Linked DNA regions of Coturnix japonica. The protein of the gene in region 1 binds, or shares a complex with, the protein of each later gene. Links are inferred from orthologs where the notes say so. Each region holds a gene or a part of one and is shown on either strand. Other genes may lie near its edges. The genes, in order: GTF2B and GTF2H3.

Region 1 (15,820 bases):
TTACCTGTCTTTGAAGGTTTCTGGCAAATTTGTGTGTCTCTAAAAAGTGAAGCTACCATTCATTTGGAACAGCTATCTACTTGAACGCTTGTGTTTTCAGTCTGTTCTCATCTTTTGAGTAATGAATTCTTATAAGGAAAAAATATATAAATAAACACAGTATGATTTGTTCAAAATCAGTCAAAACTCTTGGAGAAGACTCAGTTGCTATCATACTTTTAACTTTCCAGTATTGTGATGGTGATTATGTTTTCAAATTGAGATAATACCTTTTGGAATGGTTTCTCTTTCAATACTATTAAGGTATGAAATAATAATATTTTGCTTGATTTAAAAATACATATTGGAAAATAAAATATAGAACCATTTTACAGCTAAATGCTTTCTTTTTCATCACCTGTGGTCAGAATGAGCCATGACAATTGAGTTGCATCTGTTTGAGAGTAGGCTTGATCCAGTAATGAGCTCTTGCTTTATAATTGAACCACCCTTTGACATGGGTGCCTATGAGATGAACCTAAAACAATTGGCAATATCATTCCTAGTAAAGGCTCTGGTTAATTTCTAACTCATTCCATGAAGAACTGAAAGTTTACTTCATATTCTTTGAGACATGTTAAGAGAAGCTGTTATTCTTATCTCATAAATGCATTATAAAGTTAGTTAAAACTTGCTCTTTTCTGAGTTCTTTTTCAGAGCAAACTACTGATTCTTAAAGTTAGAAAATGTCTCAAGTTTTTCTTTAATTCATTGTTAATCTGAAGTAATGTTCTTGCTGTAAGTATAATATATGCGTGTGTTTTTTCTGTAGCTTGGTTGGTCTATTGGCCCCCAGAATCTGATTAAGCATTTGCAAGTAGTTCATCAAAATACACTATATACTTGCCCAACTCCATTGCAGGTAGGTATAGATAAAGACAAAGAAGTTTATTTTCTAGTATTATGTATTTATATATATTTTATATATTTTCACTAAACGTAGCTTCAATTCATGTGTTAAACTCTTATGTCTAGAGCTTCTGTATGTGATTAATACTTCTCAAGCAGTTGGTGCTTTGGGTTAGCAAATTACATTATTGGATATAGTTTGTGTAGTTCTTATTTGCTGATTTGCTTAACAAGAGCCAGATCCTACTACAGAATCAAAGAAAAATCCTCATGATTTCATTAGGAAGTGTGTGAGTATCCTTAAGTATTTTGAACATTGTCTTTCCAGGAGGCTTTGGCACAAGCACTTTGGGTAGACTATAAACGCATGGATGACCCAGACTGCTATTTCTACTCACTGCCTCGAGAGCTGGAAAGCAAGCGTGATCGGATGGCTCAGCTACTTCAAGAAGTTGGGCTGACACCTATCGTTCCAGAAGGAGGATATTTCATGATTGTTGATGTTTCTACATTAAGTAAGTTTAAAAATAATAATGATAATTAGGATATAGAAATACAAAAATACTACTTTTATTTTGAACCATCTTCTCCTTTCTTGTTCACGTAACACTGTCAGAAATACTAATTGGGAATTAAATTTTCTATTTGACTTTAGCCTGGAGGTGGATTTTATAAGCTTGAAGGAAAATGTTTGCAATTGTAACAACTGTCCTTGTTTTGCAAAGCTTTGGCAAAGTTTTGGTAGGGCGGTGGTTGTGGATTAAAAAAGAATAGTCTATTTCTTAAAAGTCTATGATGATGAAAAGATTTGAGAGCCAAGCATTTGGCTTAATCTCCTCTACTTGTTAGCTGTTTCAGTATAATTTGAATTATATTTCTTTAATGAAAGTATATGTCTTTATTCTGAAGTATTAAGTGTAGTGCTGTTGGTGAATGCCTTCCCACTGGAGTCTGGAAAATCATACAATTTCTTTCTCTTAGATGTGGATCTTTCTGATGCAGATGAGAATCAACCTTATGATTATAAATTTGTCCGATGGATGATATCATCTAAGGTGAGATGTCCTAGTTATACTCTAGTTTTAGAAATGCTTTTCTACTGAAATCCAAAGCAGTGCAACCATGCTTATTCAAAACATTGTTTAGTATTCATGCTATCTTCTGGAAATGATGTGGCTTAAATATTGCTAAGCATGCCAGTAATGTGTTTCATAGGTTTGTGTTAAGCTCCAGCACTTGTTCTTTCTCTGCTTAAGTACTGGTTGTAGAAAAACACCTTTGAAATGTTTTGTTTAAGAAAAGTAATGTGAATTTATTTAAACCTAGTCAGCCAAAACAAAATTCAGCATTGTATTTCCCTTGAAGTTGGAAGAATTTTAGAAAATCATGCTTAGAACTGTTTTCAGTATATATATGTATAATAATATTTCTGTTTAATTCTTCAGAAACTCTCAGCGATTCCTCTTTCAGCGTTCTGTGGGCCCGAGACAAAAAGGCAATTTGAGAAATATATACGTTTTTGCTTCATTAAGGTAAATTTGTGTCCCGTGAAGACTCAAAGCTCAAAAGTCAATGTGGCATTAAAAGTGGAACATACAACTGCTACAATTCCCCCCCTCCCCAGTCTGAATTGGGTGATTTTAGAAACAGAAAATCAGTTTGGTGTAGAATTAAGCAAGAAGTTGCTTTGTCTTTTTTGCTGAGGGACTTGAAACCAGAAATAAGGATGACAAAGCTGACAACTGGGTGGTTAGATCTTTCCTTTTTTAAAAGATAATTTGTTGATTTGTAAAAGCATTATTGACCAGTGGTGACACTGACAATGTATGAGATGGGTATGCTATCACTTAAAGTGAATCCTATAACCAGAACAAGGAATAATTCCCATGTAATGATATTACATGATGCATGATATACATGAAATGCTGCATGTCTGTTCAGTTTCCGGCAACAAGAATAGTAAGTTGGCTTGAAGTTTAGCTCACCTGAAAATACAAAGAGCTTGCAGCTATAAAAGAAAGCAAAGACATGGGAAGGAATCTCATCTGTTTTTTTTTTTTGAGAAGAGAGAAATAATGAATTAGATAACATTTGTGATTTTGTGAGCACCTGATTTTTTCACACGTTCTTCCCTGTGTTTCACTCAGTTGTTGAATCTGTGTGTGGGGACATGTACATACATAATCTTTGGTCATCTGAGTGCTGTAGGATGTTTTTCCTATTGCTCTGTCACAGAATCAACATAATGAAATGTGACAACTCTTTTAGTATAAGAATCTGTACCTTAGCTTGGACCAGTGAGGAATGGGAGTTTCTGCTTATATTATCATAGCTCTTAGGATGAGGTATAAAGACAGTGATACAAATGGAGCCAGTAACAACCAGAATGAAACTTGCTGATAGTTAATGTAGCTTGCAGATGAACAGCACTAATCACAATGTAAACCCCACCTGTATGATTCATCATGTTGTAGCCAAGCCATACAACTGACCAGTGGGTTACTCATATTCAGAGGGTTTATGTTTAAGTAGACAGTATAGCTCGGTTGCATGAAGTTTTATACACCCCTTCTATACACATAAAGATTAGGAAACTATGCCAACAAGTGTCCAGTATAGAGCAGCCAAGTGCGTCACTGTGTAAATGCCAAATATTTACATAAGGACTACCCAATTTAATTAAATTTGATAATACTGAGAAAAAACGTGATTTTTTTTTTGTTACAAACATATCTAATAAATATTTGCAAGGAATCAGATTTTTTGTGTATTGCATAGATTTGTAGCTGTGACTGCTAATGACAATGTGAGCAGCTGGGATATTAAGAGGTTGCAAGTGACACTGCCAAATATTGATTTGGGATCATATTAAATATGATGATCATATTAAATATGACTACTACTGTTTTCAAGAATTCATACTTGGAATAATAGTGATACTCCTTGTTTTGCAGAAAGACAGCACTCTGGATGCAGCTGAAGTGATCCTGAAGAACTGGAAGAAGCAGAGAGCTTGATTTATTTTATTTTTCTCTTAGTTAAGTCTTCTGTCTGGCATAATTCTTACACTGGGGCTTTTACTGCAAACTGAAGAACAAATTACTTAATACAGTACAGGATTAATACGACATTGTAAATAACTTTGTACTGCCACCTGCTGAGGAGTTAAAACAACGGCTTGCTGATATTTGTAATGCAACTCGGAGGTTATTTTCATTCTTTTCAAAATCATTCACTTTTTTCCTTTAAAAAATAATCTGTGGGATTCACAAGTCTTTGTCTTATTGAAACACAAAGAGTTCTTGGACTGGGAAATAAATAATTGTAGGTGTTTTAAGTTTTTTTGTTAGGAGGTGGAAAAAAATTACTATATGTCTCAGAGAAGATAATCACAGTGCCTTTTACTATGTACCTGTCTACTCTGTCCATGCACAGATTTCATCAGTTTAGCTAAAATGATTGAGTTAAATCAATTGTGTGTTTATACAGGCAAGATCTAAAGGGATAAGCAGTGTTTGGTCTTGTGCTCTTCTGAAGGTGTTCAGTTCTCAATACAATTATGTAAGTGGCATTTAGAATAGGATTTCTTTTATTTCTACCTTTTTGTTTACTACATGAATCTGCAAAGCAAAATAAAAGGACTTGCTATAGAGTGATCTCCATCATGTGAATTAATCCTGTAATCTCTTTTTGTGTTCACAAAAGCCATTGGTAACTTCATAACAATCTTATTTTATACACTTAAGATCAGGGGTTACATGGAGATGGGCCTCATACTGTGCTTTAATTCTGTGATACTATGGAGTTCAAATTTGACTATTCCAAGCTCAGTGGATAAAGGACAGGTTCAAATGAGATAAATGTGGGGAATTCCTTCATTGCTGCCTCCTCTCTGTGCAATCTTTTAATTTCTGGATAGGTTTCCCACTAGCAAACACAGTCCAGGTAGGTAACCTTTTAAATGCATTGTGTTTTTTCATGTTTGTTTGTTATTCATCCCATAGACCTTATGCTGGAAAGCCTGAACAAATTCTATTGCTAGATCTGCAACTGTTTTACTTATTCTGTGGTTAGAGAGCTGCAATCCAGCTGAATCCCGTCAGTTTGTGGCTCTGGACAAGGACAAAAAGAACTGTATCAGACTGTGAAGTGATCTGTTAGGCTGCTTTGTCAGTAGCCCAGTAGCTGGGTCTTTTCAGCTGCCTTGCACTGTCATTCTCCAGATCGCCCCACAAAAATGGTTATTTGCTATTTTGAAGAGGTCATTACAAGTAATACACGTACAATTGCATTTGACTGTTATCTGATATTTTAGTGGGGAAATAAACAAAGGACCACTTGACAAACAAGCTCTGATGACTTATTAACGTACTGCTGTGTTTACAAATGCAGTTGAATATCCCATTGAATGGCTGGAATGGCATTGATGGCATTGCTAATGTGAGAACTGCAGCGTGCTTTGACTTGCAGTGCTGATGTGGCGCAGCTGTTGCAGGCGCTGCTGCCTCCCGTCCGTCCCCGGCTCGTGCCGCGCTCTCAGGCTCCTCCTGTCCCTCCGCGCGACCCGTCGCGAGCTGCCGGCGGCTCCGCCCCTCGCGGCCACTACATAAGGCGGCGCTCCGAGCTGCCGCCCGACCGCGCACAGCCGCTGCCTCAGGAGCGAGCGACATGGCGTCCACGAGCCGGTAAGGGGAGCTCGGCTGGTCCGCAGGGGCCCGTGAGGAGCAGTTCCACAGCGCAGCGCACGGCGCGGCTTCCGCCATCTCTCCGCGTCTGCGGACCGGCAGAGAAAATGGCCGCATCGGCCTTCGCTGCCGCCCGGGGAGGAACCGGCCCCGGCTCGGCGCTGCCCCTGCCTCGGCTCGCTGTTCTGTCCCGGCTTGTGGGGTTATTAAGCCGCCTGGTTGTGTGGGGGAAGGCAGCGGGGGCTTCTCCGTGCGGGCGGCGCCGTGTGGCGGTCGGTCGGTCGGTCGGTCTGCCGGCTGCTGTGAGGCAGAGCCGTGAGCTCAGGGCCCGCGACGCCTCCGCGGCGCTCAGTTACCACAGCGCTGAGCGGGCGCCTACATCGCTTAATTAAAACTTGGGTAGAACAAACGGTTGTCGTGTGGTCATTTGTGAAGGAGAAGTCTGCGACAGAGTGCTTGCTTTGGAGCTTCTTCGTTTGATTTACCACCTCCCCCCCTTCTTTCTTTTCTCTCCGCGTGTCGCTGGCGTTTTGCGTAACGCCAAATGTCAGCTGGGCGCCCTCCTCGCTTTGTCAACACTTGTGTCTGCCACGTGAAGCCGCCGGGGCGGCGAGGGAGGAAGGGCCGGGAGCGAGAGCGGCTGATACCCAGCGGGATTCGCATCCGAAGGTCGCGCGTGGACGCGTTGTGTGCAGGGGTCGTGGAGGCTGTTGGTGATTCTTATCGTACAGGTGCTTCTGAGCAGCCATCGGTTTAGAATAGGATGTTTATTTCCAGTTGACGCTTGTGGTATATCTAAAACATGAAGATTGAGGAGGCTCTGTGTAGATTAAGCTGCAGTGCTGGGCTGGTGGGAAAGGAGGGGACTGGGATGAATTCAGCTCTTTAATAGACTGGTTTCCTGTTTGAAGGATTAGCAGGTGCTTGTGGTGCTGCCACATTTAGGTTGAGAAGTACTAGCATTGTTTTATTTTACTGTGATCGGCTGCCATACCTGCTGCTTTTTCAGCTCCATTGAATGGCTCTGTTGAATATGAAACCTCAAACATTAAGTGTCAGTAACTTCAGCCTTGAAACAAAATTGTTTTAGTGGAGTTACTGGACAGTCGCTGCTGGTTTAGATAGTTTATTTACTGTTACAGTGTTCTGTGAGAAGCAATTGATCGTTGCTCTGCTTTAGTGCTGTTGGGTATATGCACATGTTAAATAATGACAAGGCTTTACTGGAGGTTTTTTGTAGCTGCTGGAGATGTGTGATGTACAAGAGGTTCCTGGTTCTCAGAAGCACTTGTTACCCGATCCCTCTCCTGAGTTGGTAGTTTCTCCATTATGATCTATACTAATGAATTGTTTAATTTACGTGATCTAGTTTTAGCCTGACTTAAGGATGGAATGTTTTTTTTCTAACCCTTGAAAAGGTGACAGAATTATATATTCTCAAACAAACGTGTGCCCTCCCTGAATTGAGGACCTGATGAATTATATTGGTTTGATAAGACTGCGAGGTGGGCTACACTTAGCTTGTCTGTATTTAAGTTTTGGATGTTCTTATTGGAGCTTTTTATGTTTCTGAGATAAGCTGCAAAAGTTTTAGATTTTAAGATATTCAGGTGTTTTTGGTTAATAATCAGTCCTTCAAATCACTGTAAATCGTTCTTTTCAGCAGTGAACTGATACTTTGAGATATGTGCTCTCCTTAATAAAGATAATAACAATTCTTTTTTCTTTCTTTGTAGTTTGGATGCTCTTCCAAGAGTGACTTGCCCAAACCATCCAGATTCCATTTTAGTGGAGGATTACAGAGCTGGTGATATGATTTGTTCAGAGTGTGGGCTAGTAGTAGGTAAGTGGATTTCATATCGCTGTGAATTACTGTGTAACTTAAATTACGCATGTTGATCTGTTTGGGTTTTTGTGCTTTTTTTCCCCCCACAAAATGGGAATGTGGTTTGAGTCTTTAGTTTTTTGTCTTGATACCTAAGTGTGTTATGGTATAATGATCTCTTTGCTAAACGCTTACTATTTGTAGTGGCCTTTCTTCTGGTAACTTCGTGTATTATGGAAAAAATAAAGAAACATGTTTTAGAGTTTGAAATCTTGAAATACTTTGTAATATTGAATTAGAATGGTATGTCGCCTAATCCAGTATTCTGCCTTTAACCACGACTGTTATGTCAGTTAGTAAAGAAAAAAAAAATGCAATAAAAGCCCTTAGGCAAATAGCTTCATGATAAATAAAGCCAGAACAACTCTTGTTTCCCACTGGCTGGAGGTTATTTTCTGCCCTGAAGGATGATTCTCTGTATCCTTCCAATATTGCTTTTGTTAATTACTTCTCCCAAGTCTTTTAATACTACCCAAAATAAATACCAAATTTCTCCTGAATGTTGCTGATCTCTTCTCCAGAGGTGTGTTCTTTTTCATGCATCTTTTTGAGAGAAAGCTTTTTCGTTCTTGAAACCTCATTTATTTCTATTCATTTTGTTCAGCTGTGTTGTGACTAAAAGGAAATACTCTATTTTGAATGTGAATGTTCAGATGATTAATTAAATAGCAGTAAATGTTTCGGATAGCATTGCCCTCTCTCATGGGCAGTAATGATTTTACATTGGCTTTACCTGGATTTTGTCCAGCTGTTAGCATAAAGCTGAAGGTGGAGTGGGTTGCAAAAGGTGCAGTGCTGGCTTATCCAGGTGACTGCACATTTTTTGATGCAGGAAGCAAACTTCCACATACTTTATTAAAGTTATTTTCTAAAATATTTTGGAAATTTTGGTATCAGTTGGAAACAAAATTTGGTAGAAAACTGGTAGCAGATTTGTTTAAAAGGATGAAACCTTACAAAGGGCTGAAAAGCACCCACTGTTACTTGCTTTGTCAAAGAAGGTCTGATTTAAGGTGTGTACTTTCTGATAAAGATAAATGAATTGTGACAAATCTGCTGGCTGAAAATGTGAACAGCTACAGCAATGTTTCCTCTTATTGTACAGTATCAAGCTCCTCGGCTGCTGTTTGAAATAACTTGGTCAGTGTCAACTCTTTGCATAACTGCTCTGGGAGTTGAACTGAAGTTTAGGAAGGTCAGCCTTGATCAGTCCCAGACTTTTAACAGCTCAGAGGAGGGGGAGAAAGCTTTGCTTGCGTGTTTCATCTTTAGGAACTTGGGAGTTATCAGATTCACTTTCATGAATCTTATATAGTCACAAGCTGCTCTTCTGTTAGAGCTTTACTTTCTGGTCTCTTCTGAATCAGTAGCTTTGCAGATTTCATTAGTTGGAGTGCTCAGCCTTTCTGAACAGAATCCCTTGGACATTAGTTCAGACTTTCACAGTGTAATTTCAAGATGTGTTTACACTGAACTTAGTCTTCTTTAGAGCCAATGTTACTGCTAGGGTAAAATGTGCTTTGCTTTTTATTCTTTAAGCAGGTTGTCGCGTGGATTTATCGCTAGAATATTCTAATGCTTACTGTTGTGCTGATTGTTCTCATTTGGTTTTGCCATGCTTCAGTAATTGAGTTATGTTCCGTTTAAGACAGTGGTGATTTCACTTCTTTCTACACAGTGAAGTCGCAGATTTGCATTCTGATTTCTCTAAGCTTACACAGGTGCAGCTGTGCGAGTCCCGCTCATCATTTGTTTTGGGGTGGGATGAAATTTGATGAGATTTTTACCACTCAAGGGGATCCATTAGAATAGTAGAAGAAACTGCACGGCTGTGAACTCTGTAGCCAAATTACTGTCACAGTGCCATTTAAAAATACAGTGGTTTTGGTGTCTGCAGAGCATCGCTTGTGTCCCAGAGTGGCAGAATGGTAAATGCTGAGTGTGGGTGTGTTCTGCTGCTGTGAAGTTTGTAGTGGTGTGATTTGGCCAGTATTTTGTTCAATATGATTGAAATGAGATCCAAGAATTTGTGACAAAGCTGAGTGTATTTCCACATGATCTGTGGCAGAGTACTAAAACTGAGCAGATTTTGAACATATTTGGAGGAAAAGCTGTTGATTTTTTTATTTTTATTTTTATTTTTATTTTTATTTTTATTTTTATTTTTATTTTTATTTTTTTTATTTTTATTTTTTTATTTTTTTTTTTTTCCTCCCCCCCCCTTCCCCTTTTTCCCTTGTGTATGTTGGTGGTTAAAGTAGCTGATACATTGATTCCAAAGTTTAACAGTTATCTTTTCTGGGACTGTGTGATGAAATCAATGTCATTAGTATTATGGCTGACATTGCATTTAGAAGTTTTGTAGCTGAAAAGGAGGGGAAAGGCAACAGAAAAAGACTGAGACAACAGGAGACCAGGATAAGGTTATGAACGACATGCAGATGGTTGTTCCATCTCCTGTAAACCTGCTCAGAGTTTTTGGGAAGGCATTCCATAGTTTGTGGTCGGAGATGTGGCTGTTACAAAGTTGCTGCATTATTTAATTGGCTAATATTTCTTGTGCTTGCAAGTAAGATTCTTTGCATCCATGGAAAGGCTAATTATAAGATATGCTTATGCTCGCAGAAACTGTGAGTGGTTGAAGGTGTGAGTGTTCCTGGGTGCTGAGTTTACACAGGTAATTTGTTGTAAGAGTCATTCATTAGCCTTTTTCAGTCAGCATTCCAAACAGTCTCTGTCTTAAGTCTGACCCATTTCAGTTCCGTATCTGCTGGAAACAGCATAAAGTTCAACAAATGCCTGTATTTGTCTTTTGGATGTGCATTGCTGAGGATGCCTGATTCCCAAATCTCATAAAGCTGTGGTAAACGTCATGTTGTCCATCCATTAGTCTGAGTGTTGGTGTGAGTACTGAGTCATGCAGCCATGACATGACTGTCACCATTTAGTCTTTGCTGAGACACCAGGAGCAGAAGCTGTGGCAGTTTTGGCAAGGCTTTGCATCACTATTCTTAGCATGATATTTCCTAAAGGATGTGGAAGGTTTTAGAGTATGTAGGTTCTAGACTGGGAACCAAAGATGGTTCAGAGCCAATATGAAGCATACTTCAATTAATCTAAATGGTATGTGAATCTACACTCTGAGGTATTGAATATTTGGGGGATGTTGGCTGATGGTACGGTGTTGATATCTGAAACTATTCAAAAGATCGTGTGCCTAATCTAAGGCTCTGTGGATGCTGTGTAGAGGAAGTTGTGACTGTAAAGTTATTTTGGGTTTAATTTGTTTATTCTCAACAGGTATTCTTTGTTGACTTAAATATACTAGGTTTATTGAGATGTTATATGGTGGAGCTCAAGGAAAGTAATTTTGCTTGCTGAAAACAGAAATGAAGTTGAGTATAACTGTGTTGGGCAATACAATAAGTGTCACGGTTTTATGATTTTTGTTATCAGTGTTCCACATCATAACATCACGTAGTGCACTGGGAGTTAAAGAGTTAATGCTCCAGTTCCATGGATTGTTGATATTCTCAGGTACCTGGTTCTCAGAAGAGGAGAACTACATCTCCCAGAAGACTTTCACTGTTCCGTTTCCATTTTCCATTTAGAGGGAAAGATAAAACTGCTCACAAGTCACAAGACTGTCCCCTTCTTTTACTGCTCGTCTCTGTGGTGTGTGCTTCCTAGCTGTCTCACCTCAGCATTAGAGTAAGGCCTTCAGTTTTTGGACACTCTAATTTTATTTGATTTATTAGCTTCCATTCTAGCGATATTGTATTATATTACCTCTCATTCTGATATCATTCTTATTTAATTGGTTTTCTCCCTTAGTTCTTTGCTGCTGTTCAGTTTTTAGCCCTATCTTCCTACTTTTCCCCCTTTTCTTTCCTTCTTTCCCAGGGCATGTGTCTGTGGGTCTCTTCACACTGTTACTCATAGAAGTGGGCCACATTGGCCCCAAATCATTGACAGTAAGCAAATAAACTGATTGTGGAGGAGTGTACACACCTGGAGTACTGTGTCCAACTCCAGGCTCCTCAGTACAAGGAATGCTCAGCCTTGTTGGAGCAAGTGCAGCAGAACGTGACAAAAGTGTTGTATGGGCAGGTGTATTCTCAATATGAGTGAATGGAGAGTGTTTAGTTTTGAAGGAAGGCTCAGCTCAGCCTGGTTCTGTGCAGTTATGTCTTCACAATTCTCCTTGGCTTGTAGTCTTCTGCCTGGATTTTTCACTGTAATTTGTCTTAGCTCCTCACTACTTTCTGTAATAAGGAGCTGGCTGAAATTAAGTAGAATTTTATTTAGGTTTTTAAATGTGGTGTTCTAAGAAGTGTTTCCATGTATGTGCTCACTAGATGGCAGCAGATTCATTAACTAATGGTCAGAATGAGCCAAACATTGTTAGAAACTGTGGGTGTTCGGTATTTTAAATTGTGAATAAACATTATTTTGCTGTTTATTTTGAGATTATAATATTAGTTGTTCATATGCAGAGCTTGATTCGGTGTACATCTACCATTACGGCTCCTCTTACAATGATTTAAGCCACATCATCTTGAAAATGCTTCAGGACTGAATATGAAAGATAATGTTATTTGAGGCTTGAATTCCATGCTATTTGTTTTGATTAAACCTCCTCAGTTCACAGCTGTGTGTGTGTATATATATGTGTGTGTGTGTATATATATATAAACATATATGTATTTTTAATATAAGAGATAATAAAAATGCAAATAGAGAATAAGGGGCTCATGTATCATGAGTATTTCAAGAGGATGTGCTGCTAAAGTAGCTGCTATTATTTCTCCGAAAATATGTAATTGTGAATGCAGAACTTGTCAAGTAGGAGTGTGTTCCTTTGATAAACTGCTTTCTATTTTTGGGGTGAAATAAACATGCAGTATTAGTGTTTAATAGACGTGCTAAGCTAATTACTAAAAACTGTTGAAAATTGCATTTTAATTTTTTATACTGAGCTGAGTTTACTCCTACATTTCTGGAGCACTTGCTTAGATAAATTAGGTTAGAAAAGTAACTGGTCTGAGGTCTTCTGTTCTGAAGGTTTTAGATAGTACTTTTTGGGAGCTTTTGTTACTCTGCTGTTTGCCACTCAGGTGCATTTTCCTGGTGATTTAGGAGAGCACATCAGTAGGGTATGAGCCAGGAAATGCGTTTCAGAGCTTGAAATTAGCAACCAGTCTTCAAAGCTGATTCTCTGAGTGCTGTTGTGTTGCACTGCTCTTGTAAAACTGACCTTGGTGTTTAAGGTTTTGTTTCTGTCACTTACATGTGGGGCTTTATTACATACATACCAAGGCAACAGTTCCAAAGTGGTTTTTATGTTTTTAAAGGTTAAAAGAGTACTTAGTGTCATGCTTTCTTTTGTGTGTGGGACAGGATAATTAGCTGCTTGTAGTTGAATATTTTCCATCTATGGAAACATTTGGCCTATTTGTTCCAGTTTTGTTGTTATTTCTAGCTTGTGTCAGGCTTCTATGCAAGGCTTTTGCAAGGTGGAATGTGATTCCTTGAATGTCTGTAAGTAAAGAATATCCAGGAAAGCTGTTTTCTTGCAATAGCAGATTTCTTGGCAACACGAAGGTGTTTACACACTGCATCTTAATTCCACAAATGCTTTATATTCAAAGATTTGTTCTACTTAATCCTTTCTCACTCTGAAATAGCAGACTCAATTCTCTGTTTGTAATGTTTGCCAAAGCAGGCAGTGATATAACACTTTTTTGTTAGAGCAGGAATGGTTCATAACTCACAAGAGGCAGATCCGTGAGTGAGTCATTGAGGTCATTCCTACTTGTGTGGAAAAAATATTACATCATTGCCCTGTGTTCAGTGTTCTATTTATACCATGCCAGAATTTTAAGTACATTTTGCTTTTTTTAGATGCTGTAAACAGTACTGGGGGGTTGTCTTAAAGTAAAGTCACTGCTAGACCATAGAAGGTGCATTACTGAATCAAATATTTACAGAGAGTCCAGGAGCCAGAGGAGCATGCTGTCTGCTAATGAAGGCTCACAAGACATGAGCCTCTAGCAGGAAGAATAGATCTGTGCTCTCTTTTACTTTGTGGTGTTCTTAGTCTTCTAACTTTTGTTACTTCCACCTCTGCTACCTCAGTTTTCATTAGAGCATTAAATGAACGGGGAGCATAGCTATGAGCATGTCGGATGAATACTAGTGAGATTACTTCTGTCTTAAATGTATTCTTTTTAGGTTGGCCTGATTTCTTGGATTCATTTACACCTTTCAGTTTCAGGCACATTCCTTGCATCATCGTGTGTTAAGAGTGAAGTTCCCCATTCAGATTCTTTTCCACAAGTAATTTTGCAGTGACACTCTGTGTGTTGCTCCTGTATTTTTTTTTCGAGATTCAAATTGCATGTTATCATTGTTTGCTAGGGAGTACTTTTGTCTGTCTGCTTACATTTTTACTAGGTTAAACTTGCCTCTCTTGTTTCATACTTGGACTTCTGTGCCAGCAATCTTTCTTGCTGTCAGTACTATTTATTTTGGTGAATGTTGCCTTCACAACACTTAAACTTTGATAAAGATAATGAATTTTCCCTCAGGTTTAGCAAAGCAGAAGTGACGATTGAACTGGTTCTGATATTCTGCACAGAACTGTAATGCTTTTTTTTCTTGATGCTTTTCTCTACATGTTCCTAAAAACTCTGTGGTATTGCTCTGGAGACAACACCTTTGAGGTGCTGCTTTTACCAGCCCTGTGAATAGAATGAGCTGCACTACAAGCAGAACTCTTTTTTCAATCATTATTTGAATCATTGTGATTACTCCAGATTTTTTTTGCCTGTATTTATGTGGGTTAGAGATATTTCTCAGTTTGAATAGATGCTGCTGGAAACATTTAGGTGAATTTGAGAGGACTCCCAAGAAAAGCCTTTTTCTTAAGGGTCAGGAACAAAACAGAGCTGCAGAATGTTGTCATGGTGGTTTAGAAGGTTCGTTTCTGAGCCTGGAGCTCATTCACAAAAGTGATGTGCTACTGCTTGATGAGATAATGCTTGATAGCTAATTCAGGAGTACTTCTGTCAAGTGTCAAAGGTAACTTACTTGTTTGTTTGTCACTGACAATGTTCACTGGACAACTGTGAGCTCCTTTGTGTATTGAATAACCTGTGATATTCTTTAAGGATGGCCACAATTCTGTTTTCTGGGTATGTTTATTTAAACTTTCTCCGCAGCTCCTGTTATTGCTTTCTACTTAGATTGAAAAACCTAATAATTTTGGTGTGTTGACCTGCAGTTACATCCTGCTGGCACTTGGTAACAGCCTGCATTTTATAACTGAGACCTGGGCTGTGTAACCATGTTTCAGAAGCTGTTTCCAAATGTTATGTTGATACAAACTGTTGCTTTCTGTAACCACAGGTGATCGTGTCATAGATGTAGGGTCGGAGTGGAGAACTTTCAGCAATGATAAAGCAACAAAAGACCCATCTCGAGTTGGGGATACCCAGAATCCTTTGTTGAGTGACGGTGACCTGAGTACAATGATTGGAAAGGTAAAATATGAAATATTAAATGTTACTAAGCTTGAACGTTTTTGTGTCTGCTACGTATTTGTGTGTCCATAGGGAAACTATTCAGAGAATGCATTTACAAAGAGATTTAGTCAAAACTTGAACTCTTGCATTTCAGTAATCTGTAAAATGTGTCTGTTTCTGGCTGACAGCAGGAAAGGACTGAACTTTGTGACAAGACGAAAGTTTGCAGTGTTGCTGGGTTAGTTGCCACTCCTTGATTTGCAACATGAACCAGCTTTTTTGTAATAATGTCTAGATCAGATTAATATTGGAGACGTGGAGAGCTGCATGCGTGTTGTGCCTGCTCTCTCAGTGAATATTATGTGGAAACACTAAGTATAGAATCCTTCTATGGTGTAAGTATTCCAGAAGAAAGTATTCAGTGTATGTTTGGCTTGAAGTTTTGTGATACAGCTATGTCACATGTTTGTGAGAAAGAAAAAGCAGGATTAATAACACAGATGCTTTCCCTTTAATGAAATAGTGACCCAGATAAGCTTTCATTGTGCTTTGTTTTATTTTCTACTGCAGGATTCAAATTCATATTTGTGGATTTCCTGAATGTTTCATGGCGTGTGATTTTGACAATTGTCATCTGATATCTTTCGCAATAACTTAATGAAATCAGTGGCTCGTTTTCAGTGCAGCATTTCCACTTCATTTTTAAGAAAGTATCAGTTTCATTTTCATGCTAAACAGGGAGATGGTCTTCAGCCATTAAAACTAGCAATGTGTAATATTTAATCATTATCAGAGAAATACAGTTTATTTGTAAAAACAGATTGAAGTTTGGGTTA
Region 2 (15,744 bases), on another chromosome or scaffold:
TGGAGAACTATTATATGGTACGAGCTCTGTGTGTGGTGGTACTCGGGATTCTTTCTCCCTTTTCCCTGATTCCATCAACAAGTTATAAGTTATGACCACTTACAGTCGCTTCAACACAGGAACCAGAAGTTTCTAAGACGTAAAGCTCTTGCAGCTTATCTGAAGATTGGCAACCACGTTGAGGAGAAATTGCCCTTCATTCTGAACACTGTAGTTGTTTGCTGTATGAGCTCAGCTCTTTGTTTTGTTTGGCCTGCCAGGACCCAAACTGCTGCACTGCTCTGCCTCCATGACCAAACATCGGTGCGCAATGAGAGGAGGAAGCTGGCAGATCAGTTTGTATCAAGTCCATTTTCTTACTTATTGTTCTTCTTTTGCATTATGTAGATATGCAAAGCAGATGAAAAGTTCAATCAGTTGGTGCATTTTCTTCGACAGCACAAGCAGGAAAAACATCTGGTCTTTTTCAGGTAATTCTGTGTTTCATTGTGAAAATGAGGAGTTTTATTACTTAAATTCCAAAGCTGACCTGTGTTGATAAGGACGTAACTATTAAATGTGGTTCACTGTAATAGCTGTCTTATGGAAAGAGGATAGAAGGAGATCATTGCTTCATGTCGGGATTCTGATAACATGAACTTTATAACACTATAGAAGTAAAGATTATAGATGCTGTGTTAATCATAAAAGTGATGTGCATACCTTAAGGGAAAATAGACAAGTTGCTATTCTTGAAAGGGCTCAGACAGTTCTGACATGGCCGCCTTAGGTGGGTTAAATATATGGTATAATCTTCTACTTCTCTGTCTTCATCACAACAGCACGTGTGCCTGTGTGGAATACTATGGGAAGGCGCTGGAATCCTTAATTAAAGAAGTGAAAATTATGTGCATTCATGGCAAAATGAAACACAAGCGCAACAAGATTTTTACTGAGTTCCGAAGGCTCCCGGGGTAAGAACCAAGCAGGTTACTCCAGGCAAAAGCACAAACAGTAAGAGAGATTTAATAGTGTCTGACAGGGTGCTTTCCTTAAATGACAATTGAGTGAAAAAATGCTTTTTTTTCCTCTTCTTCCTAGTGGGATTTTAGTTTGCACTGATGTGATGGCGCGTGGCATTGACATCCCAGAAGTACACTGGGTTTTACAGTATGACCCTCCTAGCAGTGCAAGGTACAACTTCAGATCTCACCAACCTGTGCTCGTGCTACTGTAATGTTTAGGTATAAATGGGGAACACACAGCTGTGGAAAAAGCACAAAGTTGTCTGGAAGTCTGAGCTACCTGCAAACAAGAAAGTTGTAAGTGATGTGAAGTTGATTGGCTTTGTAGGCCTGATGTGCAGAAGTAAAAGAGGTGGTTGCCACTTGCACAAAGGGGCTTTCTATTCTAAGGGTTAGTGTGAGAGTACGGGGGTAACAAGCTGAGGGGTGTGAATGAGTGCAGAGAGCTGGGGTGGAGCTATTTAAGGATGGTACACTGAGAGTTCACATGAGGGGAGCGTTTCCCACTTATTTTTACTTGTATTGTCATCATTTTCCTGTAGCTGAATTATGAGTTTAGTTTGAAAATACTCCAGGTTTTCCATTCTGTCAGATTTGTCCTTTTTGCTCACAAATGCTTTAAAGTCAGACCAGGCATCTCTCCTTAAATTATCCCTGTTTTATTTCAGTGCCTTTGTGCATCGCTGTGGTCGAACAGCACGGATTGGAAATGTTGGCAGTGCACTTGTATTTTTGCTTCCCATGGAAGAATCTTATATTAACTTTCTCTCAATCAATCAAAAGGTCAGTAGGCTTTTATTCTAACCCTACGCAGCAAAGGGCAGGGGAGCCAGAAGGTGACCAAAACTTACTGAAGATTAACTGGAGAAGAAATGTGTTTGAATTTTCAGAGCACGTTTCAAATCATTCAGCTGAACTTTGCCTTTCTTTTTGTATTCCTTTGTTGGTTTTCAGTGTCCCATGCAGGAAATGAAACCACAGAGAAACGTGTTAGATCTTCTTCCAAAACTGAAGTCTATGGCTCTCGCTGACAGGGCAGTGTTTGAGAAGGGGATGAAAGCATTTGTCTCTTACATCCAGGCTTACGCCAAACATGAATGCAATCTGATCTTCCGAATTAAAGGTAATTCCCAGCAGGAGCTGGGGATCTTTTACTGTTCTTCAGAAGATAATGTTCAGTTTGACAAAAAGCCCCCGTGATGTTACTGTCTGTAGCTGCTCCTTTCTGTTCTCAAAGTCTGACTGAAGCAAACCTAAGTGTAAATGTGACCTCATATTGTCATTGCTATTAAATACTAATTTCAGGATCATCTTTTTTGCCTGGAATTTTGTAAGTTCACTTTTTATCCAGCAGGAAACTGACTTTATAATCTTTATCTCAACAGACCTGGACTTTGCTAGTCTTGCTAAAGGCTTCGCCTTGTTAAAGATGCCGAAAATGCCTGAGCTAAGAGGAAAATGTTTTCCAGATTTTACTCCAGTCACTATTAATACGGACTCCATTCCATTTAAAGATAAAAACAGAGAAAAGCAGAGACAAAAGCAACTTGAACAACAAAGAAAGGAAAGAGAAGAAAATGGAGGAAAAAAGAAATTCATAAAAAACAAATCCTGGTCAAAGCAGAAAGCCAAAAGGGAGAAGAAGAGGAAAGCAACAGCTAAAAGGAAGCGTGAAGAGGTAAACCATGCCAGTCTCTTAAGCTGCGTGTTGTTACTAAATGTACTTGCAAAAGTCAGGGAGCAACGGGATTTTAGTGTGACAGAAGTGAGACACACTGCAGGGTTACTTATTGAAAATAAGCCTTCTACGTCTGCCAGGCAAAGCATAGGAAAAAAAGCTTTTTAAAACCAAATGTTGCAACAATTTCTCATCGCTCAGGTGATGGTGAATTGCTGCCAGCATAGGTTCATAGGCTGCATGGATTGTAGGGGATATAGCAGCACTTCACTGGATAGTTCTTATTTGTTGTTGCTTTTTTTTGTGTTTCAACAAGTGAATTTGATAGATTGGTGGTAGAATTTGAGTATAATTTCCTGTTTGGATGCTGCTGGCAAAATCTAGGTTGTAAAATTCTGTTGTGTTCAGCTGTCTAGAGATGAAGCCTTTGGTGTCGTGTGTAATCTGTTGTATTTCAATGGCTAACAGGGCTCTGATATGGAAGATGAGGACATGGAAGAGTTGCTGAATGACACGAGACTCTTGAAAAGATTAAAGAAGGGGAAAATTAGTGAAGAAGAATTTGAGAAGAGACTAACAGGAAGCCAGAGTAAATTCAGAGAAGCTGCTGCTGACTGAGACTGAAGGTTTCATTCTAACTGGGCTTTCACATTAAGATACTCCCTATTCCAATAAAACTGTATTTTTATAACAAAATAACGATGCAGAGAACAGAATGGGTTTAATTTCTTCATCAAGAAACTTGGTTTCCATAAGCATAGTTAAGAACTGCAGTTGAGAACAAAGCTAAAGGCACTGCCCTTGTGTCATTTGGCTGGAGCTACAGCTTTCCCTCGGTGCATTTATTTCAGGGCTTTTTGTTCACAGATCAGTGAATGACAGCATGTTATGGAATGAGGCTGAATGCACCATAAGTTACTTTATTTTACAGTACTAAAATACTTGACCCTCTTCTCCAATAATTCATTTAAGGAATTCAGAAGCTGTAACAACTTCCATTTTTTTTTCCTAAACAGTGGTTCATCCACAGGTAATGCCTTAAACTGAAGGTTGATAATGACATGAATCCTTGTAATGCTGCCTCCTCACCTTGTCCACCCCACTTGTGTCACCTCCCAGGCTCTTACAGCTGTGACAGTCACTGAGGATGGTACACATTGCACACCATGTCCATTGAGTTACAGATACAGTTTAATGAGTTCGTCGCTGACAGCTGATGGAGTTAACACACCAAGGTCTGTAAACAGTAACGTGATAAGTGATGGTGACGTGTAGTCAATCCAGGGATGTTCCTCTGTTAGATTCTGACTTGTTTTCAGCGTGTCTGCTTTGTACTAGAAGGAAACAAGACCGTTAATTATTACACAGCTGCGAGCTAAAATCTCTCTTGGGCTGGGGCAGTGCTATAATCTTGAGCAGATATCTGTGGTAAAATGGAGGGAAGTCAACTGCTTTAAAATGAGGCATGTGCTGCCACCTTGGTCTCGAGTGTTTTACCTTCTATCCACCATACAACTTATAGTTCTGAAGTGTCTCGATGTAGCTGTTTCTTGCCTGCAGCTACTCCCGTGCCCCAAAGGAATTGCTTTGGTAACTCAACAAGAGTATTAGGACAAATTGTGGATGTTGGAGGTCTGACTTGAACATGGACCAACTCTGTACTGTGTCAAGTTAACTACAGTAGAGAGATCCAAACAAATGAAGATGTGCTTAGAAGAAAATTGCTCACAAACAAGTAAGTGGATCTTAGTTTGCCAGGAAGCAACCTGTATTTCTCTTACCTTAAACTTATCTGGGACATCCTGCTGGTTTAGAGGGAAGAGTCTTACAAACTTGAAACTTTCTGCCACCACATAGAACGGCTTGTTCTGAGCTTTGGCACACACAGCAATCTGATTGGTGCCAATCTGTGGAGACACAGAAAATAATGTGCAGATTCCATGCTAGCATGACTTAATATTGCCATGTTTCCAATAATAGACTTTCACTGATTGATATCCAAGAATATTTGAATAGAGTTTCCAGATTGATGCAATGCGTTCTCTTTTACCTTGTTAATAATGCCTCCGCTTTCTACTACACCTTCAGCACCAACTAAGACCAAGTCCACTTTCTCCATAATGTAGCTGTTGAAGAAGGGGAAGAGATCCAAGTCTTAGCAAATAACGTGACTCATTGAACAGAACAGAGATAAGGAATTCCAACAGTCTCACTTTTCTAAACTAGTTTTAGCTGCTGTTAGTTAAGTAAGACTGTGTTGTTCGACATCCTTGGAATGAGCTTTCGCCTGCTTGCTCAGCAGGAATGGTACAAGCCATGTCTGACCTTGACAACTGTGTAAGCGATGGGAGAAATCCATCAACTGTAGTCATTACATGGCAAAATATGCTAGAATTTAGCATTTAGATTGAAAACAAACACAACATTTAGAAAGAAAAATCAAAGTAGTTTTCTTTAGTACAGCAGCTCCTTCACATATCCCCAGGCTCCACGCATAGGTTGATGGAGTCAGACCTTATAGGCAAACATCAAGGTACAAGTTCTGCAGCAGGCGTATTTGGTTAATCATGCACCTAAAGTGTCACTTGTTCAGCTTGTTTGATGACTATGACAAATGAAGTAACAATTCCTGTGTTTAGAACAACCTCCTATGGAACTTAAATGGAACAATGTTAAAATTGGGATGAACGTTAAGATTTAATGATCAGACTCACCCAACTGCAGCATCCAGTATCACAGTCACAGGAATGTTCAGTTTCCTCAGGGCTTTTGCCATTTTTTGCCTGTTATATAAAAATGAAGCTTAAAAGTCTTTCTTTAAAGATGATAATAGAAAAACAATGTCTGAAAGAATGAAACCCATGACTATCTATGTTCCTACAAGGCCAGCAGCTTTGAAGTTATGACAGAATTGATGCTGGCTGTAGTTTATCCTCTTAGCCAAGATGAAGCACAAGTTAATGAATACTCGCCCTGCTTGGTCTGGCTGTGATTCAGTAACATAAACGCTGAATCGCTTCTTTGACTCAACAGCTGCTTCTAGCACCCTGAGGACCACTCGTGAGTAGGCGTGTGTCAATATCCTCTGTCAAAAGAGATTAAATGTTACTTCTTACTGAGCTTTAAAACCTTCATTTCAGTTAGGATGAACAGGGCTTTTACTTCTGTCAGTGTCCATTGGTGTTATGGTCTCAAACTAAAAGAGGGACAATTTAGATGGGTTACAAGGAAGAAGTTAGTTATGATGGTAGTGAAGCACTGGCACAGGGTGCCCAGAGAGGTGGAGGTGCCCCATCCCTGCAGACAGCCATGGTCAGGGGGTGGGGCTGTGAGCACTGATGGAGCTGTGGGTGTCCCTGAGCACTGCAGGCAGTGGGACTACATGAGGTATAAGAGTCTCTTCCAACTGAAATGACTCCATAATTCTATGATGTTGCTCGTATTTACAGATTTTAGGAGAGGATGCCACGCTGTGAGATGGGCAGGAATAATAACACCACCCCCCTGCTTTCCCAGCAGCGCAGGCAGCAGAGCCAGGACACGAGCAGCCCTTGTTGTACTTACAGCTCCTTGTTGTACTTACAGCTCCGTCTCTGATGAAGGGATGACACAGTTTGGCGATTTTGTTCCTGGACAGAGAAACCTTCCTGAGGAAGATCTCCCCGCGCTCGATCATGATTTCTTTGCACTTGGAGTAGTCCTGGAAAGGACACAGCGCTGCTGCCGGCTGCCCTGCAGCAGATGGGCCGGCAGGAGCCCGCTCCTTACCGAGTACTCGAGCGACGTGAGGCTGATGAAGCGCAGGAACAGCTCCCCGCCGGAGTTGACGGCCACGGACGAGTCCACCCGCGACAGCGTGTCGATGGCATCGCGCAGGCTGCTCCGCAGGCCCTGGATGGTCTCTCCTATGGAGACAGGGCACAGCGGGGGATCAATCGGGGCCGGGCCAACATCGCTTCGTGTCCGGCCGCCGGGGATGGGCGCCCACCTCGGTCCTGCCGCAGGAAGCCCAGCAGCGCGCGGATGGCGGCCACCGCCGAGGCGACGTCGGGGTCATCCCTCAGCTGCGCCCTGAAGGTCTCGATCAGGTCTGAAAGGCAAAGAGCCGCCTCACACTCGGCTCAGCCCGGCCCCCACAACACCCTCCATAGAGACACATTACCGTCCGTGCTCATGGCTGCCCCCGCCCTGCTCGGTGCCATGCGGCGCAATGCGATGATGTGCGGTATGACGACACCAGCGGGCGACACCAGCGGCGGGATGGGAGCGGGTGAGAGGAGCCGGCCGAGGGGGTCGGGACGGGGGGGGGATGAACCGGGCCGAGTCCAGCTCAGCTCAGCTCAGCTCAGCTCAGCCCCCGCGGCTCCGGCAGCTCCCGGCCCCCTGCAGTGACCCGCTGTGTGTTTTGCAGACGAGGAGCTGAGCCTGCTGGTCATCGTCATCGACACCAACCCCATCTGGTGGGGGAAGCGGGCGCAGGGGGAGGCTGAGGTGCGTCCCGGGGCCGCTTTTATAGGAAACATCGGTGGGAAACGTGAAAAGTATCATCAAACCGGCACAGGGTGCACGGGGAGGTGGAGGTGCCTCATCCCTGCAGACACCCACAGCCAGGGGATGGGGCTGTGAGCACTGATGGAGCTGTGGGTGTCCCTGAGCACTGCAGGCAATAGGACTGCATGACCTTTAAAGGTCCCTTCCAAATGATTCTCTGGTTCTACAGTTATGCATTTGTCAGAGCTTTGCTCAGCTGATGCCTCCCGTTAGAAAGGAAGCCCTGCACCTTCTAGTTCTGAGTGCAGTTCTGCGGTTGGTTCCTGTAGGTGCTGTCCTGCTGAATTATTCTTTCCCTTGGCAGTTCACCCTGTCGAAATGTGTGGACGCAGCGATGGTGCTGGGGAACTCCCACCTGTTCATGAGCCGCACCAACAAACTGGCCGTGATGGCCAGTCACACGCAGGAAAGGTACGGCAGCCGCTCACCACCATGAGTGTGACGTGTTGTCCACTCCCTGCCTCCTGGTAGAGAAAGAAATGGTCTGTTTTAATGCCTTATGGAAAGCAAGACAGAGTCAATGCATCAACGTATTGAAAGGAGGGAGGTGAACCATTTGTGTCACAACAATTTCCTGCCTTATGAACCCTATTTAATGCCTGAAGTATTAAAGTTATTTGGAGTTTTACTTCAAAATATCGCTGTCTATGAGTGGTCAGCTGATGTCATTTCTTCCTTACAGGCTGAAAAGCAAACCGTAACACTTTGTTCTTCCTCTCTTTTAGCCGTTTCTTGTACCCTGGGAAGCGTTGGGCTTCTGCGGATCTCCTTGGAGATGGTGGTAACTCCGTGGAATCCAATTGTTCTGGCAGCAAGGATGGAAAATATGAATTGTTAACTGCAATCAATGATGCAATTGCAGAAGAGATTAAAGACCTCATGACGAAAAGTAAGGGAATAAAAATTCTGGGTTTCATAACACAGAACTGCAAAATGTTCTCTGGGAGTTGCAGGAATTTCTTTGGTTCATTTGGATTTTAATATGTTTAGAGTAGGTGAGTTTTTATGGCTGATATTGGGTGACTCTGCAGTGATTCAACATGGCGAAGATTGAACTGTAGCACTCAGTGAGATCAGGCTGAGTGAATGATTTTGTGTATCAGAGTAATCTGTGTAATTTGCTTTGCAGCTGACATGATGGGCCAGCAAACAGAGACTCTCCTAGCAGGGTCTCTTGCCAAAGCACTTTGTTGTATCCTTTTGATGGCAGAACTTTTAAAGGCTTTTGTCTGTTTCTTGTCATACTAATTATCCTTCAATACAGTCTTGACTATCAGTGCATTCTATAATAATTTTCAAAACTGAAACATTTGCCTTATAATTGTGGATCAAACAACGTGTGTTGTTTGAGGTAGTGAGTACATAGCATGGGTGCTGCTGGTGCTTCCATGAACAGAGTGTGGATTCCTTGATGTTGTCTGATGTAGATATTAACAAGATGAGCAAAGAGGTGAAAGGTAATGCCTTTAGAGTGCTTTCACGAGTATTTGAACCTATATACCTAATATACCTAATTGCTTTGGGGCAATAAATGACATAGGCCCGCTTTCGTAACGTCTGAATTATTCTACAGATAATTCTACATGTATTTCTATACCACTGGGACTATCAGTATTTACATTCACATTGTCTGAGACATTAGATCTGTCATTTTGGATGTTAGATTGATTGGATTTACCTTAGTTAAAATGTCAGGTATCGTAGAACTGTAGGGACAACTATAGGGAATGGATGTACTCATGTGCTTTTATTTTCTTTTTGCTAATCAGCCAATCAGGAAATGAAATCAAGGATTTTGGTAAGAGCTTTGTTGTTAGTCTACTATTAGCCTTAAAATACATCAATGCTATATGGGCTAACAAGTCTCTATTGTTTTATTTAGGTCATAAAAGCTGCAGAAGACAGTGCATTACAATATATGAATTTCATGAACGTGATCTTTGCAGCACAGAAACAGGTGAAGCTATTTGATATATCTTATCTTTTATTAGCATATAAAGAGTGAAAAAAAATGGTTCATTTACATTATGGCTGTGATCTGGTTAAAGAATCCCTGGAGTGAAGACTGTCATGCCAAGAGTGAAAGGTAACCGAGGTTAAAAGTCAGATCCTACTGCTACATCTTAACGTGAAGGGTTTGCTGGACTAATAAGAGATTGCTGTGAAAGAACGGATGGTAGCCTTCTGTCCCGCCTTGCAGGTGCTGTGTACAGGATACCTTTGCTGATAGTTCTTTTATTGCCATACATTAGAAGGGAGGTGTTAGAATTCTGGATGTTTGTTCTGACAAAGGGAATGAGCTTTCTTATTGCTGTGGTGGTCCTGCAGCTGTAAAACATGGATGAGGTTACATTGTTCCTAGCTGAACTCCTTTTTTTGTGGGTCTCTTTACTTGCAGAGTATTTTGATTGATGCTTGTGTCTTGGACTCTGATTCAGGCCTTCTACAACAGGTACAAGCTTCCTATTCTTACTTGCTGTTTGCTTTAATTCATAGATACTTGATGCTAGATAGTTTGATGTGTTTTAAAGCACTCTCAACTTTTTCAAACCAGAAAAAGAGACATTATTACACCCTTCTATGAGACAAGGCCTAGGTATTTTATGTTGGTGAAACACTGTCTCTTTTTCTCAGTCTTTTTGTACCCTCCTATTCTGTAACAAATTATTATTGCTTTGTTCTTCTTCCTTGGCTAGTAGAAACCATTGCCTTCCTGTTAAGACTGAGCTATCTGATCATTCTCTCTGCATTCCAGGCTTGTGACATTACAGGCGGCATATACCTTAAAGTGCCCCACCTGCCATCCCTCCTGCAGTATTTGTTGGTATGTCTTCACTTGCTTTTTCCTGTGTCAGATGTGAAATCTTACTGACTTCACTGACACGATGATACAGCCATTTCCACACTATTTTTTTCCCTGTTTATATAGTGGGTATTTCTCCCTGATCAAGAGCAAAGATCACAGCTTGTGCTTCCACCTCCCGTTCATGTTGACTACAGAGCAGCGTGTTTCTGTCATCGAAATCTCATTGAGATTGGTTATGTATGCTCGGTGTGCTTGTCAAGTAAGTTTATAAATACGAGTTGAACTTCCTACATGTCAAATGAGCTATTATTAGTGACAGCCAATCCTTTTATTTTCCAGTATTCTGCAACTTCAGTCCAATTTGCAGTACATGCGAGTAAGTTTTCCTTCTTATTTCAGGAGTGGGTCTGAGAATGCATTTGTTGTATCTGACAGTTCCTTTTTATGTCATTTCAGGACTGCCTTCAAAATATCACTGCCGCCTGTCATGAAAGCTAAGAAGAAGAAATTAAAGTTAGCTGTCTAACGATGCAACTTAAACACACCGTTACTGCTCCTGTTATTCCATGAAGGGGGATGTACTTGAACAATTGTTGACACTTTTTACAGGATATGAAAGAGAACTGTATGCAGTCTTACTGCTTTTTTTCTTAAAGTATTTAAGCCATTTTTTCTATGTAGTAACAAATCACTGTGTTAGCAGGTAATCTGTGCTGTCTTAAATACTGTTTATTCATTGTAATTAGAACCAGAAGTTACAGGTTGTTAAGATGCAGGTCTTGCAAATTTGGAAGCATTCTTGCTGCTGCAACTTCAAACTTCCAAGTTATTTTCCAAGACAATAAAGTTTTGGTTGTTTTTAATCACATGTTGGTGCAGAGGTGAGCTGTCACCACTGCTGATGTGTAGGGACTGAACCTCAGCACCGCTATTGAAGGACCTCAGTGTTCTGTGAGCTTTCAGTGTCTGTCTGGGCACTGAAATGGGGTCAGCTTCGGAAGAAGAAAGCCAAATGTTTAAAGATTGCTTAGAACACACCTTCCTGTCGAGGGTGTTCATTCCTTGGCACGTGCACACGCACTGTGTCATATGTTTTTATTCTCTTTATGCTTTTTGGCTCTCTTGGATAGCTGCTCCTCAGTAACTGGAGCAGTAATATGGAGGTATCCTTCCCAGGGGAATTTTGACCAGAAGACCACATTTATGTGTGAGAAGGGGTTTATGTCTGTAAAATGACATCAGTAAATGTCCATGAGGTGGTCAGTCTTCAGTGCTGTGCTTTGAAACTGGAAAGGTTTCAGATCAGTGTGTTTTGTATTTGAGTAGCAGCTATGTGTGCCATGTCCAGGCGTGCATCTGGCTTCGGTCAGGGCGGTTGTTGTCATCAGCTCCCGTTCTCGTCGCCAGGAGCCACTTTGTTTGCAAGTTGTATCTATAATTCTGTTCTTACAACACCTTTTGGAATAAAAGCAGTTCTTTTTACAGACATGGATGCTGTTCGGCCTGTTGGTGTTTGTGAGGCGGTCTGTGGCACGGCGGGTGATTCCCGCCCTCCTGGTTGCCGTGGCAGCAGTGCCGCCTCAAGATGGCGGCGCTCAGTGACGCTATGGCGGCCGCCGGGCTCGGGGCGCTGCTGCTGGCGGCTCTGTGTGCGGGGCAGCCCGGTGTGTGGGAGGGGGCGAGGGGAGGAGAAGAGAAGGGGAAGGAAGGGATGAGAGGGGAGAGGGCCGCAGCAGCCTGTGCGGGCTGAGGGGGCTCGGCCTGGTGTGCCTCCCAGATGCGGCGCTTTGAGGGTTTCTGTGTTACAATGTGATTCTTTTCTAAACTTTCTCTTCCCCCCCAGTTTTTCAGCCTTCCTTTATCCACATGTCTGGGCTAAGAGTCAATTCGTTTTTTCTTGGAGATTCTTCAGGAGTTACGTTTTCCATTATTTTAGATGCTATCGATAAAGAGACAGGTAAGAACACTTTATTTATCTACCCGCTATTTCGAAAAATAATAAATATATTTGAATTCTTAACTTTTTTTTGTTGTTGTTGTCATTACAATTACCCAAATAACTGCAGTGCAGTTCAAAGAATCATCACAGAACTGTTGGAGTTGGGAGGGTCCCTCTGGTGCCCCATTCCCACATGAGAAGTTTGAAGTGACAGTGAAACAGATAACATACATATATATATATAATATATATTAATAATATATATATGTGTTTGTTATGTTTTAATTTTGATACAGGAAATTTGCTCCTTCCAAACTGCGGTGGAAATGAAAGAGCTGGTGACTGGGAATTGAGTGTAACAGCTGGTGTGGTATGTAAAACACTGCTTCTGCCCTAAGATAGAAAAGCTTGAGCAATCATATATTAAAGGCTGATGAAGTGCTAATGTAATATTAGTTTACTGACAGCTCAGTTAGAGTGCCTTCCCTTTTTGCCTTTGTTATGTCCCATCATCTGGATGCCCATGTTGGAAGTTGCTAAGGTGCAGCTTTGATGCTGGTTTCTTGTCTTTCTCCTTTCCCGAACTGCCTGTGCTTCCCGGCAGGTGATGATACAAAGAACAGTAATTTGGTACAAGCTGTTGAATCCATCATTTTGTGTTTTGCAGGGTTCATCCAAAGTGACTGTAACCTTCACTAGAAATCTCCAGTTATGTTTGCCCAATGCCACCGACTGCTGCACAGCACCTCTCTGTGTGGTGGAAACAGTTCAGGTTTTAGCTTGCAGTGGTTCGGCGATGCTGGCACGTCTCATAATTCAAGCTGAAATATATGCCAACTCTTCCTTTATGGGAAATGTGTCAGGTAAGTACTTGGATATCCTGAGGAAGAAATGGTATTTACTTCCCCTTTCTGTACCAGAAAAAAGAAAAGTAAAATTGGGAATTGGACAGCAATGAGAGATTAAATTTCTCTAGCATTTAAGGATTTATATGCAGGTGGGATTGGCTGTAATGCATGTTGTCTGCTTCTTGGGATTCCAGTCTGTATGACCTGAATTTTCTCTTCTTTTCTTGTAATTCTCTTACAGAAATCATGTCTGTCATCCCTAACCAGGTGTTTCAGCCCTTGGGCTCATGTCCTTGTGACTTGACAGATGGAGCTTGTGATGTTCGTTGTTGCTGTGATCCGGTACTTATTTCATATTAAACTTTGATGAAATGGTTTTAGAATTTCTATGTTCCTTCTGTTGTCTGGAGGGAGAATTACTGAGTATTTCAAAGTAGAAATAGGGTCTGCCTGGGTTTTGTGGTATTTCTAATAGTAAATATGACATCTGTCTACAGGGCTGGCTTGGTTATCTGCAAATACAGCACTAGAGGCCGTGGTGGTGCAATTATGGCATTAAGGTGTTCTTTTCCCTTCCAGGAGTGTACACCAGACTTGAAGCAGTTATTCAATGGATCGTGTTTCACTGGAGTGTTTGGTGGGGATGTAAACCCACCTTTTGATCAGCTGTGCTCCACACAGACAACAGAATATACTCCTGATTGGTTTCCCTTCCTTTGCATACAGTCTTCTCTTAGCAATACACCATTTCTTGGCTATTTTTATGATGGCTCTGTGTAAGTCTGAAAATATTTCTTTCCTCAATACACAATTTAGACATTACATTGAAACTGTAGCATGTATTTTTTACAGTGAAAGTTATTTTGAAATTATAAATCGATCACTTTAAATGTAAATGGAGAAATATAATTGGTACTTTGAGAGCACGGGACTGGAAGGCAGATATTTAATTCACCATGTAATGTGAGGAGTAAAGAATTGTTTCATTTTTGAACTTATTTGCAGTTCTGCACCCAGAAGTTCTGCACCCAGAGTTCGTCCATTTAGGATCCCTGTACAGGCTTCTCCTGGGAAAGTGTTCACTGGTTACAGAGCAGGAGATCCAATTATGACAGAAGATGACGAGTATTTTACCATCCCTCAGGTAATTGCTCCATATTTAGGAGCTTCTGATTCCTCTTGGCTAGTTGAAGTTCTCCATTTATCACATTCTTTTGTGTTTGTAACCAGATTCTGTAACTTGCTCTTATGAACTGGTGGAATATATTTTTCACCAAGCACAAAATCATTGTTAATAACAATAATTATCTTTCCTCATCCCCTGCCCACCCCTCCCCTTCCTTGCCTTTAAGGCTCACATACGTTTCTGTTCAACTACCTGCAGCCGTCCCTGGCAGGGCAGTGTGCTGGAAATGCCCCTGTAGCGTTTCTGCAGGACTTTGACGTGAGGTGCCTTTCTGATGCAGCATCTTACAAGGAAGGACTGTCCCATGATGTGAAAATCAACAGTGGAACAGGAGGTATGTCGCATAGTCCTAACAGAAATGTAGTTATGTTCTTCAGAAGTAGAATTAACGAGAGGACTGTTGACGTGGCAGCTACATGGCTATAGTTCAGTGTTTAGGGATGTTATAGTCCTATTTCTGATCACCTGCCAAGCTTCTCTGTATTACCCAGGACTTGGGATAGGAGAAATAGTGGGATTAGCCTTTGTTTCCCATTTATCTGTTTCTGGTGACTCATATGGCTGCATGTGGCACAAGGAAGCATCTCTCATCATGTTTTTGTATTCTTGGAACCTCCTTTTTCTGTCAAGAGGGTGCAGTGTTGTCACTTTAGAATTAGAAGTGCTTACTCTCTGCATTACAAAAGCATAAATATAAGAAATGTCATTCTGGAGTTTGAGATGATGCAATTACCAACATGAAGAGAATTTATTTTATGCTGTTTAATTACGTTGTCTAATTTTATTTACACTACCTTAGTAAGAAGCAGAGATAATTAGCTATGCTCTAACACATAACCTGCCTGGTTTATTACCAAAACTGGCTTTCTAAATACTTTTCTGCACAGTTTCTATAACAAAAAGGAGTACTTTGGATGTGAATGTTGTATATGATTCTTTTATCAGGATTACTGCAGCATTTGTTTTTTATTCTCAGACTTCATCCAACAAAATGTGACCTACAAAACCGTCACTGACAGGGACAAATTCATCACTAAAAGTGGTATGTTTCTGCTGTGTAATTAGTGTGTTTCTTTCTTAACCTGGATGACACAAGTGACTGGGGTGCCTAAAACATTTACCTGTCGTGATTCCTAGGAAGGATCTTGTGTGTATTCTAATATTTGAACAAAGCAGGCAGGGCAGGCAGCCTGTAAGCAGTGCTGGATGTGCCTGAATTTTGAACACTCTTGTGCCTTTTTAAGGTTCTGGAGCCAATGAAGCAGCTTTTATTTTAGAACAGTGGCTCCCAGTCAGTGGGGAGGGTAATGCAGGATAGTGCTGAATCCATACTAGCATGTATTTCTGGAAGATGATGGCCCTCTCAGCAGGGTGAGATAAAAAGAGAGGGACTCCTGAGTCCAGAGGGCCCCAGCAGCTGATGGAGTAAGGCCTTGTGCTGGGTTCTTAAGGAAGGGGTCAACTACAACAGGAGCTAGAACTGCAGGTGTTAGAATATTGATAAACGAAGGGATTCTACTGTAAATGCAGCACACTGTCCTTGTATGATGGGACTTAAACAGTAAAAAAAAAATGTTAAAAGGATGAATGATTTATCTTCCAGAATTTTGTTAGAGATTTTTAAGTTGTTTTTCAGTTACAGCTTTCTAATTGGCAGTACTTTTGGTTATGGTATGTTTTTCTTTCTTCTGCAGAATTTCCTCCTACCGTGGGCATTCCATTGCAAAGTATA

The links.
Region 2: GTF2B (region 1) and GTF2H3 share a complex: the UniProt entries of both Homo sapiens proteins name them as parts of the TFIID-containing RNA polymerase II pre-initiation complex. The link is inferred for Coturnix japonica from reciprocal best matches to the Homo sapiens genes GTF2B and GTF2H3.

Annotation. Positions count from the first base shown.
Region 1 is NC_029523.1:13,176,962-13,192,781, forward strand, and holds the start of GTF2B (transcription initiation factor IIB), read left to right. Parts: upstream 1-5,444; 5' UTR 5,445-5,556; coding exon 5,557-5,573; intron 5,574-7,309; coding exon 7,310-7,416; intron 7,417-14,868; coding exon 14,869-15,002; intron 15,003-15,820. Other genes in the region: KYAT3 (kynurenine--oxoglutarate transaminase 3), read left to right, coding at 812-901, 1,217-1,403, 1,870-1,943, 2,334-2,420, 3,843-3,905. UniProt on the Homo sapiens protein: General transcription factor that plays a role in transcription initiation by RNA polymerase II (Pol II). Involved in the pre-initiation complex (PIC) formation and Pol II recruitment at promoter DNA.
Region 2 is NC_029530.1:4,197,295-4,213,038, reverse strand, and holds GTF2H3 (general transcription factor IIH subunit 3), read left to right. Parts: upstream 1-6,855; coding exon 6,856-6,952; intron 6,953-7,093; coding exon 7,094-7,173; intron 7,174-7,537; coding exon 7,538-7,644; intron 7,645-7,958; coding exon 7,959-8,122; intron 8,123-8,362; coding exon 8,363-8,425; intron 8,426-8,660; coding exon 8,661-8,690; intron 8,691-9,002; coding exon 9,003-9,031; intron 9,032-9,115; coding exon 9,116-9,190; intron 9,191-9,631; coding exon 9,632-9,685; intron 9,686-9,988; coding exon 9,989-10,057; intron 10,058-10,162; coding exon 10,163-10,298; intron 10,299-10,378; coding exon 10,379-10,415; intron 10,416-10,495; coding exon 10,496-10,565; 3' UTR 10,566-11,525; downstream 11,526-15,744. Other genes in the region: ATP-dependent RNA helicase DDX55, read left to right, coding at 1-17, 388-470, 822-953, 1,081-1,173, 1,673-1,787, 1,959-2,127, 2,390-2,682, 3,151-3,300; EIF2B1 (translation initiation factor eIF-2B subunit alpha), read right to left, coding at 3,861-4,016, 4,464-4,589, 4,733-4,808, 5,397-5,465, 5,655-5,767, 6,266-6,382, 6,451-6,587, 6,671-6,772 and 1 more; TCTN2 (tectonic-2), read left to right, coding at 11,625-11,703, 11,883-11,996, 12,275-12,348, 12,646-12,841, 13,068-13,168, 13,406-13,602, 13,832-13,970, 14,211-14,346 and 2 more. UniProt on the Homo sapiens protein: Component of the general transcription and DNA repair factor IIH (TFIIH) core complex, which is involved in general and transcription-coupled nucleotide excision repair (NER) of damaged DNA and, when complexed to CAK, in RNA transcription by RNA polymerase II.